5 linked regions of the Sus scrofa genome follow. The protein of the gene in region 2 purifies or fractionates together with the protein of the main gene of each other region. This does not show direct contact. Links are inferred from orthologs where the notes say so. Each region holds a gene or a part of one and is shown on either strand. Other genes may lie near its edges.

Region 1 (5,021 bases), on a different chromosome or scaffold from region 2:
AACTCCAAATAAAGATCAAGTGTTTCTGATGAAAATTTAGTGTCCAAATTGAGATGTGCTCTAAGTACAAAATACTCGCCGGATTTTTAAGACGTAGTACAAAAAGGGAAAAATCTTTCATTAACAGTCTTTATATTCATCACATGTTGAAATATTTTGAGTATACTGGTTAAAGATGACATTAAAATTAATTTCACTTGTCTTTTACTTTTTACTGCATCTACTAGGCAATGTAACACGGCATGTGTGGCTCACACCGGCATACTGGAGAGCACCCAGCCAGCAGAACTAAGATAGATGAAAGAGGAAAGGGATTGGGAGCAAGAGGACCAAATGGATACTCTTCTTGCCAATAGTCCAGAAGAGACACAGGCTGAATTATCTAAGAGCTACCCATCTTCAAAACCTAAGACATACTACTACCTCCAAAGCTTTTCCAACCACAGCCATTCCTAATGAGATGCCTTTCTCCGGACTACTGGGGCACCTAATCTTCTGTAGCATTCACTTCAGCATTTGATCACTTACCACCTGTCATTTCTACTTAATTTGGGGGTAAGTTGTTTTTCAGATTAGACTACCAGCTCCTAGGCTACAGCATTTGATCACTTACCACCTGTCATTTCTACTTAATTTGGGGGTAAGTTTTTTTCAGATTAGACTACCAGCTCCTAGGCTAAGGGCCACAATTCAAGCATCTTTAATTTTTCCACATCGTGGGGTGCATTTTCAAAACTTTCAATAAGCAGAGATACATGGCTCCATACATTCCCTCACACATTGTGGAGGCACTCATGTAGCTAATTTTACTTTTCCACAGCAGAAGGGTTTTTTTTCTTTTTCTTTTAAGGGCTGCACCTGTGGCATATGGCAGTTCCCTCCAGGCCAGGGGTCTGAATTGTAGCTACAGGTGCCGGCCTATACCACAGCCACAACAAAGCCAGATCCAAGCCTCATCTGTGACCTACACCACAGCTCATAGCAATGCCAGATCCTTAACCCACTGAGTGAGGCCAGGGATGGAACCCATGTCCTCATGGATACTAGCTGGATCCATTTGCACTGCGCCACAACGGGAACTCCCACAAAGCAGAAGGTTTTGACATCTTAAGAACATGAGCTAAAATGATGTCAAAGTCAAGCAAGACTCAAGGCCAATGTTCCAATAAAGCAGTGATATCTAATCAGTGAGCAAGCACTGGTGAACTGCACTGGCTACCATCAAGAAAAAAAAAGTCAAGATGGCAAAACAATTTTGCATTTTCACAAATCCCATTAAAAATTTTAAAATTCTGATTATCTACAGTCTCCACAGCCAGAGATAACCTTTGCAACCCTAAGCATTAAGAACGTTCACTCAAGGAAAAAACAGTTTTCACATTTAAAAATTATCCCCTAAAAATCAATCCTAATAAACCACACATTTTCCAGGTAGAGAGCCACATATTACCAATAATCTAAACTCAGCGTTTTTCCATTTATATTAAAGTCAGGTTAAAAAAAAACTTTTAAAGGCAATGTTAGAAATACATAAATATATTTAACTGTATCATGGGTAATAAAGTATTTAACTTAAAGTACCATTTAAATTTTGTAAAATGAACCGTAAAAAAAAAAAAATAACACTCAAGCAACTGGTCAACTTTTACCCCTACAGAAATAGGAAGCTAGTAGCAACTAGTTGAAAGCAGAGGCACTTTAAGGTCATTGGCACTGATTTTTCCAGAACGTTGCAGTTCTCAGATTGTTTTGTTTGACATTTAAAACAAAAGCTGACAAGTTATAACAACAGAATCAATCTTTTCTGCATTTGTTTAATGGCTACAAAGCCTATATAACAGAGTGCAGTTAAAGCTTCTATCTCCAAACAAACAATTGAGCAATCAAAGATGGAGTCACGACACTTCTTAGGGAAAAATAAGTTAGGACAGCTCTAGTCTCAAAGGCAGAAAAAAGAAGAAATGGGGGAAACCTGTCAAATAGCCTGGATGAAATCAGGGAGTTAAAAAGAAAGCACTCATTTCCTTTAGCACTGTGGGAAAATCCCTGTGCTAACAGAAAGCTAAGGAAAGTTTGGTTTGGCTGATTTCATTTTGTTTTCCTTCCAACATCACCACTGAGTTTGAACAGCAGCTTTCCTCCCCTCCCATTACTCGGTAAAAACTCCCCCACTGAATAGAGTTGTCTTCCGGAGCCTCGCGCCCCCGCCTCCCAGCCTGCAAACGTGCTCAGACGCCTCTGGGCTTGTTGTGGTCTCGCCAGTCAGCGGGCCAGCGCTCCGAACTCAATGGACAATGGGAGCTCACCCCCGTCCACGCCAACTACAAAGCTCAGGAGGCCCATTTCCCTTTTCCTGCCCAGATGCTGTTTTTCCCCCTTCAAAGCAGGGCCCGGTGCTCCACTACAGCCCCACTTTGGTCTGGGACGCCTGTCTCCCTCCCCACCTGAGGAGCTGCTGAACCCCTCGACACCCCTCCATAAGTTGTAGAACGGCGCACAAGCCAAAGGAGACCCCCCCCCTCCCCAGGGGCTTGACTGGGGGCACGGTTTCAAAGTCCAGGTAGCACGAAGAGGGGATGTCTCTGGACGCTTTATCATAGCCCTCAAGGCTAAGCGGTCCCCACGCCAGACTCTACTTGTCTCCCCTCCCCCTAGAGCGAGAAAAGCGGGGAGGTGAGGGCAGGCAGCACTGCCGCCGCCTCCTCCAGTGGAGCCCCCTACGACACTCACCCTTTCACCACAAAGAAGGGGTCCTCCATGGACATGGCGTCCCGGCCCCCGGCCGCCTCACGCCTGCTCTGCGCACAGGGCGCCCGCGCCCTCCCAATCTCCCTCTGCCCACCCCACCCGCCTCGCGCAGCAGCCCGCGTCTCGGCCTGCGGGACCTGTAGCGGCTGCGCGCGCAGGCAGGGGTGCACCGGCCCGCCGCGGGTCCAGTACTCTGTCTGCACCTCAGACCGAAGCCGTGACTCTGGCGCCGGCCCCGGCGCGGCCCCCTCCTCGGCTCCTCCCGGCGCGTCCGGCCGCTTGGCCCCGCCCCCAGGTCCCTCAGCCTCGACCAATCACGAACGCCGTCAGCCGCACCACTTCCGCACTCGCGCTCACGTGACCAGAGCCCCCCCCACCCCCCATCAGCAGGGCCTGGGCCTTGCGTTACTCGACCCTGGAGGCGGGGCTCTGGCGGCGGCGGAGAGGGCGGGTCTTCTCAACACTCACCTCTCAAGATTCAGGGGGAGGAGCTGCTTGTTCCCTGGCAAGAAAGGTAGTCAGGTTTCCTAGATACGGAGATAGTATCAGCTTTGCACAATCTTTTCACCTTTCCTCTCCTTTTGATACTTATTTTGATAACATATAGATTTAGAAATCCATCTCGTCCTCGACTTAGAATAAAGCTCGTCTACCTTATCTGACTCTGATAATGTTGCACAACTCCTTTCTGTGGGTCTTATAGTGCCCAGCAAGACGCTGAAGGCTGTGAGTTATCTCAGTATCCTTGGAGGGGAAGGTATTATTATTCCCATTTTGCAGATTAGAAAAATTCATATAGGTTTCAAGATTTCTTGTGCTCACACAACCTGGACAGGGCAGAGCCCCAGATTCTGTGCACTTTCCACCAGGCTAGGATGTGTTTTTGTGTGTGTTGCGTTTTTTGTCTTTTCTGTGTTCTTGAAGTGATCAGTAAGATAATTTTTTCATACAGCATATGGTGCTTCCTGGAAGAGAGCATTTTTGAAGGACAAAGAAGGGGCCAGGTCTGGCAACTTCTTACCAGCTAAGTGGTTCAAGAGCTCTTCCAGGAAGCCTTTTGGTCAGAACAGTTTATCAAACTCATACGCTAGATAGTCTATGGGTTTTGCGAACTTTAATTGCTGATTATCATTGAGCACATACTGTGTGGCAGGCACTGAGCTTAGTTTATCTCAGGTGCTCTCACAATGTTGTAATCCCCATTATACAGATAAGAAATCTGAGACTTGGAATTTAAGTGACTGGCTTAAAGTTAGCAGTCTTTTTGAAGATAGAAGAGTCCTCAGAGCCAGACAAACCCTGTTTGAACCTGGGTTCTGTTATTCAGTCTCTCATCTATAAAATATGAATATTTAGCTCATAGATTGTTGTGAAGTTTAAATAAAAATGGCTAGATGGAGTTCCTGTTGTGACTCAGTGGGGTTAAGAACCCAACTAGTATCCATGAGGATGTGGGTTCCATCCCTAGCCACGCTCAGTGGATTAAGGATCCAGAGTTGCCTTGAAGTGCAGCATAAGCCAGCAGCTGCAGCTCCTATTCGACCACTAGCCTGGAAATTACACGTGCTGCAGGTGCAGCTCTAAAAGGGGAAAAAAAAAAAAAAAAAAGCCTGGAAACCCCAAGTCTCCCACAGAGTGAGGAAGTGAAGTTAGGGAAACCAGTCTGGAAGCTGCTGTGGTCATCTCACCTGAAGGGATGAGGACTAGACCAGGACAGCAGGGATTGTAAATGGAGAGGAAGGAGAGAATCTGATAGATGTTTCCAAGGAAAAACAAAACAAAACAACTAGACTTGATGAGAGATTGAATGGGATCAGGGAGGAAAGAGGTAAAAGTCAAAGACTCCAGGCTTCTCCAAGACCCTGGAGGAGCGATGGAGGTCAGATGTGGGGGGGAACCCTCCTGGAAGAGAACTGTTTCAGTTCTGAACATATTGAGGTGAGGAATTGAAAAGGGATCATCTTTCATTCATTCAACAAACACATGGAAATTGAGATGAGAATGGTGATTAAGATCCAGAGTTGCAACCAGATTACTTGGGTTTGAATCCCAGTTCTGCTACTTCCTGATTATTGCACCTTGGGCAAACTGCTTAGTCTCTGTCCTCAACTATGAAATGGACACCACAAAACACCTCCCTCATAAAGTGGCGTGAGGACTGAATGAATTAATGTCTGAAAAACGCTCAGAACAGTGCCTGGCATGTGTTGTTCTCTTACTGTGCGCTAGGTACAGAGGACACAGAGATGAACACGTTTGGTCCTTGCCATCAA
Region 2 (3,506 bases):
CAGATGTTCAGGAGGGCAGTCTGCCTTTTCACCTGCATTGGGAATTGATGGGAGCAGATTCCCCACTTCTGATTCTGCTCTACTCCACTGATTGGTGCTGGGGTCCAGGGAATGGGTTCAAGGACTGGGGCTGGGGTGCATGGAGAGGGTGGAGGTGGGTGCGGACCCATGGAGGCATTTCCTGAGACAAATGGATGGCTCAGTCAGCCTGTGTCTTCTGAGGCTTCTCTCCTAGGAGACTTTCCCTTTGAAGGCTGCCCTTGACAATCATTTGGATCTGGCCTTCCCCAGGGCAAAAATATTGGCTCCAGAAAATCCTCTTAGGGCTCTAGGCCTTCCCCAGGAGTTGTTAGGCAGGTGGTGGAAAACTGTTAAGAATCTTGCTGAGCCAGCTTTAAAAAGAAGGTGGGAAAAGCAGTAAAAGTCTTTGATCCAGGGTTCTCTGCTAGCTAAAGGCTAGAATAATATCTCCCACATCTTTTTTTTTTTTTTTTTTTTAGGCCATCTGGTACCTGTAGCATATGGAAGTTCCCAGGCTAGGGGTCCAATCAGAGCTGTTGCCTCTGGCCACAGCCACAGCCACAGCAGCTTGGGATCCAGGCTGGATCTGTAACCTACACTGCCCCTCACAACAATGGCAGATCCTTAACCCACTGGACAAGGCCAGGGATCGAACCCGTGTCCTCATCGATGCTAATTGGTTTCTTTAGTGCTGAGCCACAAGAGGAACTCCCCAATATCATCCACATCTTGCTAGATCTCATTCTCTCTCTCCAGCCAGAGGCTGCAGCCAGCTGCCCAGGGAGGGAGGAACTCTAAAGTTCAGCAGAGGGCTGGAGCATAGGATTCCACATCCATGGGAGAGCCTGGCCTTGGCTTTCTGAGTCCTGTGTGTGACCTTGGGTATAGATCCTTTGACTCCCTGAGACTTAGTGTTTCTTTCCACAGCCTCGTCTGGGGAGCATAGCCCAGGAAAGTTAATTTCTGCAACTTGAATTGGGAGAGGAAGAGCATTTTTCCCTCATTTCCAACCCCTGAATGGCCCTGGCCCCTCCTCCAGCTTCAGTGGTCCTCAGGGAGCCAGAAGTCACAAAACCAGGGACATGTGTCCCCCTGGAGCCTGTACCCCTCAGCCCCAGTGTCTGCCCTCCCAAGGGCAGGTTGCACTGACGATGTCACAACTGTGGGTGTGAGCATATGTCAGAGGCCCCTCAGTATACATGACAGTGCAGGGGTAAGAAGAGAAGGGGACAGTCAGGGCACCCAAGGGGTGAGCCCAAGAATCCTAAATTTGAACTTGGCCCACCAGGTTGTTGTGAAGGTATATTTGTCAAGGTAGGAGGACAGAACCTTTTTATTCAGCAGTCTGTTACCTCACCTTTAGCACTTAAATAAATATATATATTTATATACAAATATATAATATATAAAATATATAAAATATATAAATATGTAAAATATCCAAAGTGTATAATATACAAATATATAAAAAATTTTTATTTTGTCTTTTTAGGGCCACACCCCTGGCATGTGGAAGTTCCCAGGCTGGGGGTCTAATTGGAGCTGACACCACAGCCACAGCAACACCAGATCCGAACTTCGTCTGAGACCTACACCACAGCTCACGGCAACACTGGATTCTTAACCCACTGAGCAAGGCCAGGGATCAAACCTGTCACCTCATGGTAATTAGTCAGGTTCGTTAACCACTGAGCCATGATGGGAACTCCCAAATATATAATTATGTAATTTTTTTTTTTTCTTTTTTGGCCGCCCTGCAGCTCAGGGAGTTCCCAGGCCACAGATCAGATCTGAGCTGCAGTTGCCCCTTAAGGCTGAATCTGCGGCAAGGCTGGATCCTTAACCCATGGTGCATGGCCAGGGATCAAGCCTGCGTCCCAGTGCTCCCAAGACTCCACCCATCCTGTTGGGCCACAGCAGGAACTCCAGCACCTAAATATTTTTTTTTTATTTTTATTTTTTTGGGCCATGCCCAACGCAGGCAGAAGTTCCCCGGGCCAGGGATTGAGCCCTGGCCATGGCTGCAGCCTGAGCCACCACAGTGACAATGCCAGATCCTTAGCCTACTGAGCCACCGGGAAACTCCTAGCACTTAAACACTTAAATGTGTGGTGTGCGGGTCTCTGTTTGTACTCGTGGTCCAGTGGGAGGAGGCACTGGGTCACTCTGCCTTATCTCTTGCAGTCTGAGCACTTCAAGACCACGTCCCAGAAGGTGGCTCGGAAGTTCTGGTGGAAGAACGTGAAGATGATCGTCATCATCTGCGTGATCGTTTTTATCATCATCCTCTTCATCGTGCTCTTTGCCACCAACGTCATCCCTTAAAATAACTTAGGGAACCCCTTCCACCCTGCCCTCCTCTTCAGGGCAACCTTCCATAGTGGGTGCCGAGAGGGGCCCTCTCTCCCATGCTCCTCCACAAAGAATGCTGCTCGAGCCTCCCGCCTCTCACTCTGAGACCCCCGCACTGTCTGCCCCCGTGAGTACCTTGGTCCCTGGAAGGAGAGAGCCAGACTGTGGCTGTGTCTCAGGGGGCCTCAGAGGTGGTTGGAGAGACAGACCCAGAGGGCCCAGCATGTGGCTGGGAAGCTGATGGAACTGACGGTGGCCAGTGGGCAATAAAGACCTTTCTGTATCCCTATGCGTGTGAGGTCCTTTCTCCCTTTCCGTTTGGACCTTCTATTTCTTTTTCTTTTTAGTCTTCTTAGGGCCACACCCACCATATATGGAAGTTCCCAGGCTAGGGGTCGAATTGGAGCTGCAGCTGCCAGCCTACACCACAGCCACTGCAACTCAGGATCCGAGCCGGTCTGCAACCTGCACCACAGCTCAATAGCAACACTCAGTCAGTCCTTAACCCACTGAGCAAGGCCAGGATCGAATCTATATCCTCATGGATACTAGTTGGGTTCTTAATCTGCTGAGCCACAGCGGGAACTCCTGGCCCTTCTATTGCTTTTCTCTCTGAAGACCCTCTGGCAGAGTCTCCCATTGGAGGGCCAAGTTATTGGAGGGGCGGAGAGCATATATTTGAAGGAGAAAAGTGGAAATGCCTTGTCTTTCTTGTTTGTTTTGTTTTGTTGTTTTGGCGACCCCTGCAGCATATGGAGTTCCTGGGCCAGAGAATGCCAGATCCAACCTGTATCCTGGGGCTGCAGAGATGCTGCCAATCCCACTGCTCCACAGAGGGAACTCCTCCCTGACTTTCTTTATCTCTCCTTTCTCCATCACTGTCACTTGTCTCAAGAAGAGGAATTTTCTGGAGGTCTCAGCATACAGAAAATTCAAAACCTCCCCCAACATTTTAGGGTGGTATGTAAGACTCCCAGTGGCCCTCTCTTGCCATTTCCTTTGTTACTTTTCTGCGGGAAGTGTTAGCTGAGATGGGAAACCTACCTGGGCTGACCCTTTCGTCTGGTTAAGGGCCTCCTGCCCCTCCCATCAGTGCTCTTTCTCTTCCATGGCCCTATTGTACTCTAGAGGTG
Region 3 (4,240 bases), on a different chromosome or scaffold from region 2:
ATCAAAGAAGAATATCAACAATGATCTGAAGAGGTTAGTTAAAATACTCCTTCCCTTTCTAGTTACATATCTATGTGAGGCTGGATTTTCTTCAGATAACTCAACCAAAACAACATACTGCAATAGACTGAGTATAGAAATAACTATGAAAATGTAGCTTTCCTCTAGCAAGCCAGATAATAAAAATACATGTAAAAACAAAAACAATGCCACTCTTCTCAGCAACTTGTTTTTCAAAAAATAGTTTTAAATATAAACTATGTTTACTATATAAAATATAAAATAGGTTATATTGGGTTTATTATTTATAAACATTTTTAAAATGTCTCAGTTTTAATTCTATTACAATAAATATCAATAGATATAATTTATACAAACAAAATCTTTTTGGAACCCTTAATACTTTTTAAGAGTGTAATGGGGTCCTGAGATCAAAAAGTTTGAGAAACTATTGTTTTATTGGGTTGTCTTTTTCATATTGATTCCTGAGAATTCTTTATATATTCTGTTTTGTTTTTATTATTTCTTGGGCCACTCCTGCAGCATATGGAGGTTCCCAGGCTAGGGGTCTAATTGGAGCTGTAGCTGCCAGCCTATGCCAGAGCCACAGCAATGCGGGATCTGAGCTGCACCTGCAACCTACACCACAGCTCGCGGCAACACCAATCCTTAACCCACTGAGCAAGGGCAGGGATCGAACCCTCAACCTCATGGTTCCTAGTTGATTTTCGTTAACTGCTGAGCCACGACGGGAACTTCTATATCTTCTGGATATTAGCCTTTTATCAGTTGTACATACAGCAGTATCTCCTTGTTTGTGATTCGTCTGTAATATTTACCATTTTCTTTGTTTTTCAGACTCACTATCTGGGATCGCCTTCCTGCTTGAAGTACATCTTTCAGAATGTTCTTACGTAAGGTGCGCTGATAGCAAACTCTCTTTTGACTGAAAATGTCTTTCATTCTGAGAATGCCCTCATTCTGAGTAGCTATTTTCTCTAGGTTTAGAATCCTAGATAGACAATCATTGTCCTCCGTAACATTAAAGACAACACTCTGCTTGCTTCAGCTGTCACTGTTGACAAGTCAGCTGTCACTCTACCTGTGGCATCTTTAAAGGTATTCTGTTGTTTTCCTGGCCCCTATTTTTTTTTTTAATGATTTTCTCTTTGTCTTTGGTGTTCTGAAGTTTCTCTTTGATATACCTAAATGAGAATTTTAAAATTTACCCTTCTTGGGATTTGTCAGGCTTCTTGAAACTGTAGATTAGGGAGTTCCCGCCGTGGCGCAGCGGTTAACGAATCAGACTAGGAACCATGAGGTTGTGGGTTTGGTCCCTGCCCTTGCTCAGTGGGTTAAGGATCCCGCGTTGCTGTGGCTCTGGCGTAGGTTGGCGGCTACAGTTCTGATTAGACCCCTAGCCTGGGAACCTCCATATGCCACGGGAGCGGCCCAAGAAATAGCAAAAAAGAAAAAAAAAAAAAAAAGAAACTGTAGATTACTGTCTTTCATCAGTTCTGAAATATTACCAGTCATCTCTTCAAATATCACTGCTGATCTATGTCTGCTCTATTCTCATTTTGTAACTCTACTTAAATCCAGTTTAGATCTTTTCACTTCATTCCCTATTTCTCATAACCTTTTTCCCGATTTAACTTCTTAACCCCTTGTCCTACATGCTGGATAATACCTTCTAATCTATTTTCTAGTTAAACCCACAGCCTTTAAGCTTTTAATTTCTACATTATATTTTTCAATTCTAGAAAATCTTTTGACTCTTTCCAAAGTTTTTTGAGAAGTTTCCTGCTTCCTGTAGATGTGTTTAAGATTCTCTTCTATTTCTTTAAACATAATAAGTACAGTTGTCTTATAATTCTAATGTATGAAGTCTTTGAAGGTCTATTTCACCTCACTGTTGTTTCTAGTAGTTCTTGTTCAGGGTTTTTGTTTATTTGTGCACCTTGGGCTGCTCACTACACTTGGAAAATTATTCGAAGGTACTCTTTTAGGGTTAGGACAAAGTCTAAATAGAGAGGATTGTATTTGCTTCTGCTTGGTACACAGGTACTCTACCAGTCCAGGACTACTTGAAACTTGAGGCTTTGGGACCATTCAGGTAGTATGAATTTGAGCAGTAAATTTATCTGAAGATTACTTTATGGTACACCTTATTATCTGGATTTCCTCTCCATCTTGCCATTCTCAATGCCAATGCAATCTTTTTTTGCAGATTGCTAGGGGAAAGGGGGGCTTATTTTTCATTTTTTAGGGCCCAGTTTAAATTGAGCCGCACCTTTTTTTTTATTTTTTATTATAGTTGATTTATAATGTTCTGTCAATTTCTGCTGTACAGCAAAGTGACCCAGTCATTCATACATACATATATATATATATATATATATACATTCTTTTTCTCACATTATACTTAATCATGTTCCATCACAAGTAACTAGTGCTCTGCAGCAGGAGGAGCACCTTATTTTAGATTATTCACCTTGTGTGGACCCTTGGCTTTGACTTTTGCCTCCCGCCCCATGACAGGAGGACCAGCAACACTAAATTCAAGTTTGCCCTCAGTAAAAAGTACTCTGCGCAAAAGCAGCTTCAGTGCTCTGCTTACCTTTATGGATTTACAGCTTCTCTTAGACTCTGACCTTAATATTTTCATGGCTCTTTGATACTTTTGAAGAGTTATGCTGTTAAAATCTAGTCTTTGTTAAGTCTTTTCAAAGAGAAGGCTAATCCAAATAACCTAGCCTGGTATATTCTAGGAAATGGATTTATTACACTTTGAAGTTTTTAACATAATATCAACATAACAATAAAAAGAAAAAAAATTACAAGTAATTTTACCTGTCACTTTCGTAAATCGTTGTACATATTTCTTTCTAGTCTTTGACCACACGCACACTTTTTTTTTTAAAACAAAGCTTATACCAATCTGACATTGTCACAGCAGTTAATGTCTATGTTTATTATTTGGAGGATAGTAAACAAACACAAATGATAAAAAATTTAAAAAACAACAACAACAACAAAAAACCTTAGGAAAGAACATCCTGACATTTGCAAAGGTCTTCTTTCGGGAATAAACTTACAGAAAGACGAGATCCAGCTCTTGCTCTGGCAATACTCTCCTTTTCCTTTTCAGACACCCTTCTCTGCACAGCCTGGAAACTGTTTAAGGCTGCAGAGAAGTCATTCATGAGACGTTCCTTCTGAAGTTTCTGCTGGCGCTGAGGAAATTAAACAAGAACTTGAAATTTCATATTAACCTAGAATCATTTGGGGGTTTTTTTGGACATCATTTTTTTAAATTGAAGTAGAACTGACATACAATATTAGAATTATTTGGTTTTAATTCCAATTAAAAGCAAAACTATGCCCCCTAAAGATTTCCAACTAGGAAAATTACTATGAAATAGGCTCTTCCCTAAATTAATAAATTTGTTCTTTGCTAACTCAGAGTTTTCCTTCATTCATTCTGACAAATCTGGGACTTGTGTGTCATTTACCTTGTAAGGGAATCTCAGAGGGAACTGCAATTCAGAATTTTGGTTCCCTGGAGAATCTAAAAGCAGAAAAACACCTATGGACTCAGATTGGACCCAAACAAAGATGGTGTTCTTGCTAAAATGTTAAAACTGTATTAATCTATACTGAGTTCTCAGCTTACCTGAAACCCATACAATCATTTTCCTTCACACTGTATTGAGGTTCAAAATCTCTGAGAAAACTACTTTGTACGGTTACAGGCTACCTTTTCTAAGCTTACTGAAACTATGTCTCAAAAAACACATATTGGGAGTTCCCATTGTGGCGCAGTGGTTAACGAATCCGACTAGGAACCATGAGGTTGCAGGTTCGGTCCCTGCCCTTGCTCAGTGGGTTAACGATCCGGCGTTGCCATGAGCTGTGGTGTAGGTTGCAGATGCGGCTCGGATCCCGCGTTGCTGTGGCTCTGGTGTAGGCCGGTGGCTACAGCTCCGATTCGACCCCTAGCCTGGGAACCTTCATATGCCGCGGGAGCGGCCCAAGAAATAGCAAAAAGCCAAACAAAACAAAACAAAACAAAACAAAACAAACAAACAAACAAAAAAACACATATTGAGAGCATTTGCTGTGTGCTGAGAACACAGAAGTAAAAACTCACTCCTGACTTCAAATAGCTTACCATCTATATGTAGATAAAGAATTTACATACACAAGCAAAAAATCAGTAATTTGCTATATTCAACAG
Region 4 (4,240 bases), on a different chromosome or scaffold from region 2:
CTCCAGCTTCCCTTTTACATGGCTATCTTTGGCAGCATTTCCAAATCTTGAAAGCAGAAGAACCTGCTAAAAGTAAATGGAAGGGATGAAAAACACTACATATGACGTGTGAAAACCAATCTCAGAGTATGAACTGAGAAAAAATATTAGATGGAACACTAAGCAGGAGTCTACTCTCAAGGGAAAAAGAGAAAATAAAAAAATAATAGGGGGGCTGTTACTCCTAGATCTTCTTCCACATCCTCTCTCGATTAGAAGTGTGGAACCAAAATTTCAAACTTTGGAAAGGTAATGACTTTGAAGGAGGAGCTAGGGAAGTGAACATATGATAAAGAAGTACAGCAGTAACTTTAGCTGTCAATGAGTTTCTTTGCTCTGGCATTGGCATTGTCAATACGGTCTTTGTTGGTGTCAGCCTGAAAAAAAGAGAAAGATACCAGCATTACTTCACAAGGTAAGCTGCTCTAATAAACATTAAATTTCGTATACTTAGAAAAATTCAGGAGATAGTCACATTACAAAACTCATTTTGGGTAAGAAGTGATAGAATATCAAACTCGTTTAGAACTACTTGGATATATAAACATGACAAAGGTATAAGAGAAGAACTTGCCAGTATTTCAAGAATTCTGTAACTTTTTTCTCTTTTCTTTTTTTTTAATGGCTGCATTCATGGCACATGCAGGTTCCTGGGCCAGGGACTGAATCCAAGCTCCAGCTTCGGCAATGCCAGATCCTTTAACATTCTGCACCAGGCTGGGATTGAACCTGCACCTCCATGGCAACCTAAGCCGATGCAGTCAGATTCTTAACCCACTGCACCATGGCAGGAACTCCCTCTGTAACATCTTTTTTCATAGTTGAATATGTCTGAAACTGGGATGCATCTTATATTAAATGGCATTTTAGATGCAATGAAAATATAAAAATGCTTTTCTCTGCTGGAGATCTGGACCATGTGGGAATCTCCTGAACTGAACACAGAATCTCATCTGGAGGAGTTCCTGTCATAGCTCAGCAGAAATGAATCTGACTAGTATCCATGAGGATGCAAGTTCGATCCCTGGTCTCGCTCAGAGGGTTAAGGATCCGGTGTTGCCATGAGCTGTGGTGTCGGTCGCAGACCCAGCTCAGATCCTGCCTTGCTGTGGCTGTGGCATAGGTTGGCAGTTGTAGCTCCGATTTGACCCCTAGCTTGGGAACCTCCACGTGTCTTTGGTGAAGCCCTAAAAAGACAAAAAAAAAAGAATCTCATCTGGAGCTACCCTGGGTCTAACTCAGAGAATGAAATAACCTGCCCCAAGATGTTTGGAACAGATGTATTACCAACCACATCAATATGTGAATTAAAATGATGGGTTTACTATGTAGCCTAAACACACATAACAGCATTAAAACCATCTTATGAACCACTGTTTGCCTCAATGAACTCCATCATAAGTGATTCAATAGAGCCAGGCTTAAAAGATTAACCCAAATTTTAACGGAGAGATTTTAATGAAGTAACAAGAAGTAAGAATAGCTTTTAGATATGACACAACCAAATATTGAACATAATTTAATTTCAGTTTCTTTTATATCATGTGAAGTAAAAAATAGCAATCATACTTTTTCATTACTCATAGGACTCTATCTTGTGTTTTTGTGTCCACCCCACAGGAACCATTCTGCAAAAGTGATTTTTACCTACTTACGACACGAGGACTTAGAAATTTAGTAATTTGTTATTAACAAAATAAAATTCCAAAAGCTTACGTGCTCATTAAGGGGAAAGTAAAACAAATGACAACACACACAAAAGTTAGAGAAGACAGTAAGCTTCATGAGTGAAATTTTAAATAAAGGCACTTCATTCCAAGGTCTTAGTCTCAAAATGAACAATGAGTGAGAGAGGAGGACTTGACTGATGTTTTTCTTTTCTTTCTTTTCTTTTTTTTTTTTAGGGCCACACCCAAGGCTCCCAGGCTTGGGGTCGAATTGGAGCTGTAGCTACCAGCCACAGCCACGTGGGATCCGAGCTGTGTCTGCAACCCATGCCACAGCTCACAGCAGTGCTAGATCCCTGACCCACTAAGGGAGGCCAGGGATCAAACCCGCATCCTCATGGATACTAGATTTGTTTCCGCTGCACCACAACAGGAACTCCAACTCTTGTTTTTCAATGTGTTAGACCTGCTGCCTCATCAAAACTGTTAAGACCTGTGAGGATAAGATCTTATCCTATTCCCCAAAGTATCCAGTACAGATGTCCATTGCTAAAACACTGTATTGGATGTCTCATTTTCCTGTGGCACTAAGAAGCTCTTACCTTTTCTGTGATCCGTTCTATTTGTCGATTTTGAGCCTCGATCTCATTGCCCATGTCCAGGGCCATGTTTTTTAGATTTCCTAGGATACTGCCCACTTGAGTCAAGTTCTCTTCCATTTCGTCTTCTCTGGCATCATTTGTTATACTATCGCAAAAAAAAAAAATTTAATTCAGTACTTTGGGGTGAATTATGGGGTGATTTAGTTTTCATAAAAATAAGTAACCAAAATGACCTCAGCAAGTGTTGAACCCAAGGAATGCAGGTTACCATTTTTGGGAAATACTCTATAGTAAAAAATGCAAAGACTGACCCAAGAGAGTGCAATATCTTAAAAGCCCTTAAGACAAGATAAAGAAACAACTCTAGGGAGTTCCCTGGTGGCCTAGGATCCAGAGTTGCCACTGCTGTGGTGCAGGTTCAATCCCTGACCACACATGTCATGGGCACAGCCAAAATAAAAACAAAAAACATGCTCATTCTCACACTCCACTCCAGATCTCCTGAATCAAAGATTGGAAGGGATCCTAGCAATCTACATTTTATTAAACTTCAAAGGTGATTCTGATGCATGCTTAAGTCTAAAGAATCACTGCTCTGAAATAGGTTGCAAAACTCCTGTAAAGTCTGAAATATTTACTAACTGACCATTTACAGATATCCTTATAGGGATCTGGTCAACTCCTACTCTGGATGACACTTTTTTTTTTTTGGCCCCACCCACAGCATGCAGAAGTTCTGGGTCAGGGATCAAACCCATGCCACGGCTATTACCAGAGCGACAGCAGTGACAACGGCAGATCCTTAACCCACTGCATCACATGGGAACATTTATTTTTTGTCTTTTGTCTTTTTAGGGCCACACCCTTGGCATATGGAGGTTCCCAGGCTAGGTTCGAATCAGAGCTGTAGCTGCTGGCCCATGCCGCAGCCACAGCAATGCAGGATCCGTGCCGCATCTGTGACCTACACCACAGCTCATGGCAACACCAGATCCTTAACCTACTGAGCAAGGCCAGGGATCAAACCCTCGTCCTCATGGACCCTGATTGGGTTCATTAACCACTGAGCCATGACAGGAACTCTGGATGATACATTTTAAAACACGTCTTTGTATTTACAGAAGTAAAACGTGATTACTTGAATAATTTAGAAATGTATTTTATATAGAAAAGTTAATTCATCACTGAAGGCCATTTTGTCAGAAGGCAAATTTTAGAACAGAATGAATGCTATTTCAAACCCACACCTCTGCAGTGACCTGCTGCAGTCGGATTCTTAACCCACTGCATCACGGCGGGGGGAATTCCAATAAATGCTATTTCTAATTGATGAGTTAGGACTCATGCATAACTATACCCATCCTCCAGAAAGAGCTATTCATTTAGGGAAAGGGTAAACATACTGGGAGGAGCTAGCATACCGTTTAATGTATCCGCCGCTGGCTGCTCCTGTGGCTGCTTGCTGAGGCTGACCATTTGTCACTCGGCCTGGCTGCTTAGATACTACATTGCTAGGAGAGTTGTCTCCACCATCACCCCATGTCGCCTTATAGGCTTTACCAGACTCAAAGTTCTTTGTCCTGTGTGAGAGACAGGAGTGTAGAGAGATACCGAAAAGCAGAAGAAGGAGAACTGTCATTATTCGTGCTTGTTACCTTGGTGATGGCCTACCACCCTTAGCATAAATGCTACACACAGCTAAATCGAGATTATCCATACTATGCTCTATCACAATCTGGTATGGGAAAAAGATGAACTGTTTAAGTCTGATGACATTAAAATTTTTTTTAAAGTTAAACTACTTCCACCAAATATTCGCTAAGCAGGTAGCAAATAGCATAATGTAATTACTATTTTTCATGTTCCCTTAGTTTCTGACACTCTCCAGAAGAGGGTACTGTACACTAGGGAAAAAATTCCTTAGGAAAGGTG
Region 5 (4,046 bases), about 42 Mb from region 2:
AAAAGCAAAAATAAACCAATGGGACCTAATCAAACCGACAAGCTTTTGCACAGCAAAGAAAACCAAAAAGAAAACAAAAAGACAACTTACAGAATGGGAGAAAATAGCTTCAAATGATGCAACTGACAAGGGCTTAATCTCTAGAATATATAAGCAACTTACACAACTCAACCACAAAAAAGCCAACAACCCAATGGAAAAATGGGCAAAAGATCTGAACAGACATTTCTCCAAGGAAGATATACAGATGGCCAACAAGCACATGAAAAAATGCTCAATGTCCCTGATTATTAGAGAAATGCAAATCAAACCTACCACGAGATACCATCTCACACCAGTCAGAATGGCCATCATTAATAAGTCCACAAATAACAAATGCTGGAGGGGGTGTGGAGAAAAAGGAACCCTCCTGCACTGTTGGTGGGCATGTAAGCTGGTACAACCACTATGGAAAACAGTATGGAGATACCTTAGATATCTATACATAGAACTACCATATGACCCCACAATCCCACTCTTGGGCATATATCCAGACAAAACTTTCCTTAGAAAAAACACATGTACCCGCATATTCACTGCAGCACAATTCACAATTGCCAAGACATGGAAACAACCCAAATGTCCATCGACAGATGATTGGATTAGGAAGATGCGGTATATATACACAATGGAATACTACTCAGCCATAAAAAAGAACGAAATAATGCCATTTGCAGCAACATGGATGGAACTGTAGACTCTCATGCTGAGTGAAGTAAGTCAGAAAGAGAAAGACAAATACCATAGGATATCACTTATATCTGGAAGCTAATATATGGCACAAATGAACCTTTCCACAGAAAAGAAAATCATGGACTTGGAGAACAGACTTGTGGTTGCCGAGGGGGAGGGGGAGGAAGTGGGGTGGATGGGGCGCTTGGGGCGCATAGATTCAGACTATTGCCTTTGGAATGGATTAGCAATGAGATCCTGCTGTGTGGCACTGGGAACTGTGTCTAGTCACTTATGAGGGAGCCTGATAATGTGAGAAAATAGAATGTGTACATGTACGTGTAACCAGGTCACCGTGCTATACAGCAGGAAAAAAAGTTGTATTGGAGAAATAACAATTAAGAAAAAAACAGAAAGAAGTTCATGGTGAGCCTTGGGGCAGCCCTCCGGCCTAGAACCGGGGCCAGGGCCCTGAGGAGTGATCCCAGGCAGGCTCCTTCATTCCCTTCTGGGCCTCAGGATTCCCTCCATGCAAAAGGGCCGGGACTCAGAGCGGACAGAAGGAGGCCGGCCACTCACGTTGGACACAAACACCTCGCTCTGCCCGCTGTCCAGCATCTGCTCCAGCTCCTCGTCAGACACCATGCCAGCATTTGCTGTGAAGGGAAAGGCCAGGCTCAGCGCTGGTCAGGTCACCTGACCCGGCAGGCCCGGCGCCGCAACTCACTGATCTTCAGCTGCCTCCGGATCCGCTCCACGTTCTTCTCCCGGTACTCGGACTGCATGGAGTTGCACTTGTTGATGAGCTCCACGAATTGCTGGGACAGGACCCCATGCTAAGGAGGGAGAAGAGAGGCTGGGCACCCCTGGGAGGATCCCTGCTCCCTCGGGGCCTCAGCATCCCCATGGGTACAGGGAGCAAAGAGCATGAGCTGTTACAGGTGCCTGTCGCCTTAACCGCCTTGAATGGGCTCCTCCAGTCCCTCAAGGTGAAAGTCAAAGCCCTCCCCAAGGGCCTGAGAGGCCCTATATGACCCACCCCTCTCCCTGGTTCCCATCTAACCTCACCTTCCAATACTGTTTCCTCACTCCTTCCCTCCAGCCATAGTGGGCTCCTTACTCCTCCATGAACAAAGGACAGCCCCAGCTCGGGCCTTTGTACTCGCCCCTCCTTGGGCCTAAAATGCTCAGGCCCCACAAAGGTAATTAGTCTGTGTTTCAAGGTCGCCCTCTTATTTATTTATTTATTTGCCGCCCCCCCCTTCCTTTTTGTGCTTTTTAGGGCTGCACCCAAGGCATATGGAGCTTCCCAGTCTAGGGGTCAAATTGGAGCCACAGTTGCCAGCCTATAGCACAGCCACAGCAACACAAGATCTGAGCTGCACCTGCCACCTACACCACAGCTCACGGCAAGGCAGATCCTTAACCCACTGAGCAAGGCCAGGGATTGAACCCGCAACCTCATGATTACTAGTCAGATTCGTTTTCGCTGTGCCACAACAGGAACTCCAATTTTCTTTTTTGCTTTTTATTTATTTATTTATTTATTTATTTATTTATTTATTTATTTATTTATTTTTTAGGGTTTCACCCGTGGCATATGGAAGTTCCCAGGCTAGGGGTTGAATTGGAGCTGCAGCTTCCAGCCTACACCACAGCCACAGCAACGTGGGATCTAAGCCCCAGCTCACCACAATACAGGTCTTTAATCCACCAAGGGAGGCCAGGGATCGAACCTGCATCCTCATGAATACTAGTCGGGTTCATTACCGCTGAACCACAAGGGGAACTCCCTCAATATCACCTTGTGAACAGAGTTTTCTCTGCCTTATTGCAATTGCTACTTGCCTTCTCCTAGTGTTCTCAATCCCTCTTCTCCTGCTCTGGTCCCTTAACCCACCCTATGTTCTGAAATAACTTCCTGATTTATTATGGTGCTTCTCTCTCCTACCAGAATGTAAGCTCCGCGAGGATTGGGGTCTTTGGTTCACAAACAGCTAGAAAAGGCCCTCACACAGTAGACCCTTAATAAATAGGTGTTGAATGCTTGCTGAACACCAGCCTCACGGCTTAGACTAGAGGTGGGCCAGGTATACCTGGAGGTCCAGTGATTGCCCAGACTTCACAGGTCCACTCCAGCCTCTCACACCAGCGACCACCATAACCTCCCCCTGAAACGCCCTCTCACCTTGTCCATTCCTCAGTGTCTAAAATGTGCTTGGAGTTCCCGTCGTGGCGCAGTGGTTAACGAATCCGACAAGGAACCATGAGGTTGCGGGTTCAGTCCCTGGCCTTGCTCAGTGGGTTAAGGATCCAGCATTGCCATGAGCTGTGGTATAGGTTGCAGATGTGGCTCATTTCCCACATTGCTGTGGCTGTGGTGTAGGCCAGTGGCTACAGCTCCGATTAGACCCCTAGCCTGGGAACCTCCATATGCCGTGGGAAGCAGCCCTAGAAAAGGCAAAAAGACAAAATAAATAAATAAATAAATATAAGTAAAATGTGCTCACACCTGGAGTTCCTGTTGTGGCTCAACGGTTAAGAACCCGCCTAGTATCCATGAGGACGTGGGTTCGGTCCCTGGCCTTGCTCACTGGGTTAAAGAGCTGGCATTGCTGTGAGCTGTGGTATAGGTCAAAGACACGGCATGGCTCTGGGGTTGCTGTGGCTGTGGTGTAGGATGGTAGCTATAGCTCTGATTTGACCCCTAGTCTGGGAACTTCCACATGCTGTGGGTGTGGCCCTAAAAAGACACAAAAATAAAAAAATAAAATGTGCTCATTCCTTGGATTTCCTCAGAGACACAGCTGCTCTCCCGGCTTCAGCTGCACCCTTTCAAGATGCCCAAACTGTTTCGTCTTCAATCTGGGGTCTTTGCTGAGCTCTGGGCCCACCTATTCCAACTCTGAGCTCTAAGTATGCAAAACCCCTCCCCACTGGGCACCAAGAGGAGGCTGGTCAGACCTCAACTCTCCTTACAAAGATGGTGACTCAGTGACCTTCCCCCCATACCCCACCCCCAGAAGTTCCTCTTCCTAACTTCTTTTTTTTTTTTTTTTTTTTTTTGGCTTTTTAGGGCTGCACCCGCAGCACATGGAGGTTCCCAGGCTAGGGTTCTAATCGGAACTACAGCTGCCAGCCTACACCACAGCCACAGCAACGCCAGATCTGAGCCACGTCTGTGACCTATACCACAGCTCATGAGAACACCGGATCCTTAACCCACTGAGCAAGGCCAGGGATCAAACCCACAACCTCATGGTTCCCAGTCGGAGTCATTTCCACTGCGCCATGACGGGAACTTCTTCTCTTCCTGACTTCTTGATTTCGGCCTC

Evidence for each region.
Region 1: the proteins of VAMP8 (region 2) and STX6 purify together in Homo sapiens (affinity purification with mass spectrometry; 3 studies listed by BioGRID and IntAct, counting the BioPlex papers as one, with this or other methods). This does not show direct contact. The link is inferred for Sus scrofa from reciprocal best matches to the Homo sapiens genes VAMP8 and STX6.
Region 3: the proteins of VAMP8 (region 2) and STX12 purify together in Homo sapiens (affinity purification with mass spectrometry; 3 studies listed by BioGRID and IntAct, counting the BioPlex papers as one, with this or other methods). This does not show direct contact. The link is inferred for Sus scrofa from reciprocal best matches to the Homo sapiens genes VAMP8 and STX12.
Region 4: the proteins of VAMP8 (region 2) and SNAP23 purify together in Homo sapiens (affinity purification with western blotting; 3 studies listed by BioGRID and IntAct, with this or other methods). This does not show direct contact. The link is inferred for Sus scrofa from reciprocal best matches to the Homo sapiens genes VAMP8 and SNAP23.
Region 5: the proteins of VAMP8 (region 2) and STX4 purify together in Homo sapiens (affinity purification with western blotting; 3 studies listed by BioGRID and IntAct, with this or other methods). This does not show direct contact. The link is inferred for Sus scrofa from reciprocal best matches to the Homo sapiens genes VAMP8 and STX4.

The regions. Positions count from the first base shown.
Region 1 is NC_010451.4:122,577,602-122,582,622, forward strand, and holds the start of STX6 (syntaxin-6), read right to left. Parts: upstream 2,973-5,021; 5' UTR 2,766-2,972; coding exon 2,731-2,765; intron 1-2,730. UniProt on the Homo sapiens protein: SNARE promoting movement of transport vesicles to target membranes. Targets endosomes to the trans-Golgi network, and may therefore function in retrograde trafficking.
Region 2 is NC_010445.4:59,187,056-59,190,561, reverse strand, and holds the end of VAMP8 (vesicle-associated membrane protein 8), read left to right. Parts: intron 1-2,205; coding exon 2,206-2,346; 3' UTR 2,347-2,662; downstream 2,663-3,506. UniProt on the Homo sapiens protein: SNAREs, soluble N-ethylmaleimide-sensitive factor-attachment protein receptors, are essential proteins for fusion of cellular membranes.
Region 3 is NC_010448.4:84,942,429-84,946,668, reverse strand, and holds part of STX12 (syntaxin-12), read right to left. Parts: intron 3,237-4,240; coding exon 3,099-3,236; intron 1-3,098. UniProt on the Homo sapiens protein: SNARE promoting fusion of transport vesicles with target membranes. Together with SNARE STX6, promotes movement of vesicles from endosomes to the cell membrane, and may therefore function in the endocytic recycling pathway.
Region 4 is NC_010443.5:128,850,565-128,854,804, forward strand, and holds part of SNAP23 (synaptosomal-associated protein 23), read right to left. Parts: intron 3,889-4,240; coding exon 3,730-3,888; intron 2,454-3,729; coding exon 2,309-2,453; intron 417-2,308; coding exon 351-416; 3' UTR 1-350. UniProt on the Homo sapiens protein: Essential component of the high affinity receptor for the general membrane fusion machinery and an important regulator of transport vesicle docking and fusion.
Region 5 is NC_010445.4:17,424,722-17,428,767, forward strand, and holds part of STX4 (syntaxin-4), read right to left. Parts: intron 1,548-4,046; coding exon 1,439-1,547; intron 1,368-1,438; coding exon 1,291-1,367; intron 1-1,290. UniProt on the Homo sapiens protein: Plasma membrane t-SNARE that mediates docking of transport vesicles. Necessary for the translocation of SLC2A4 from intracellular vesicles to the plasma membrane.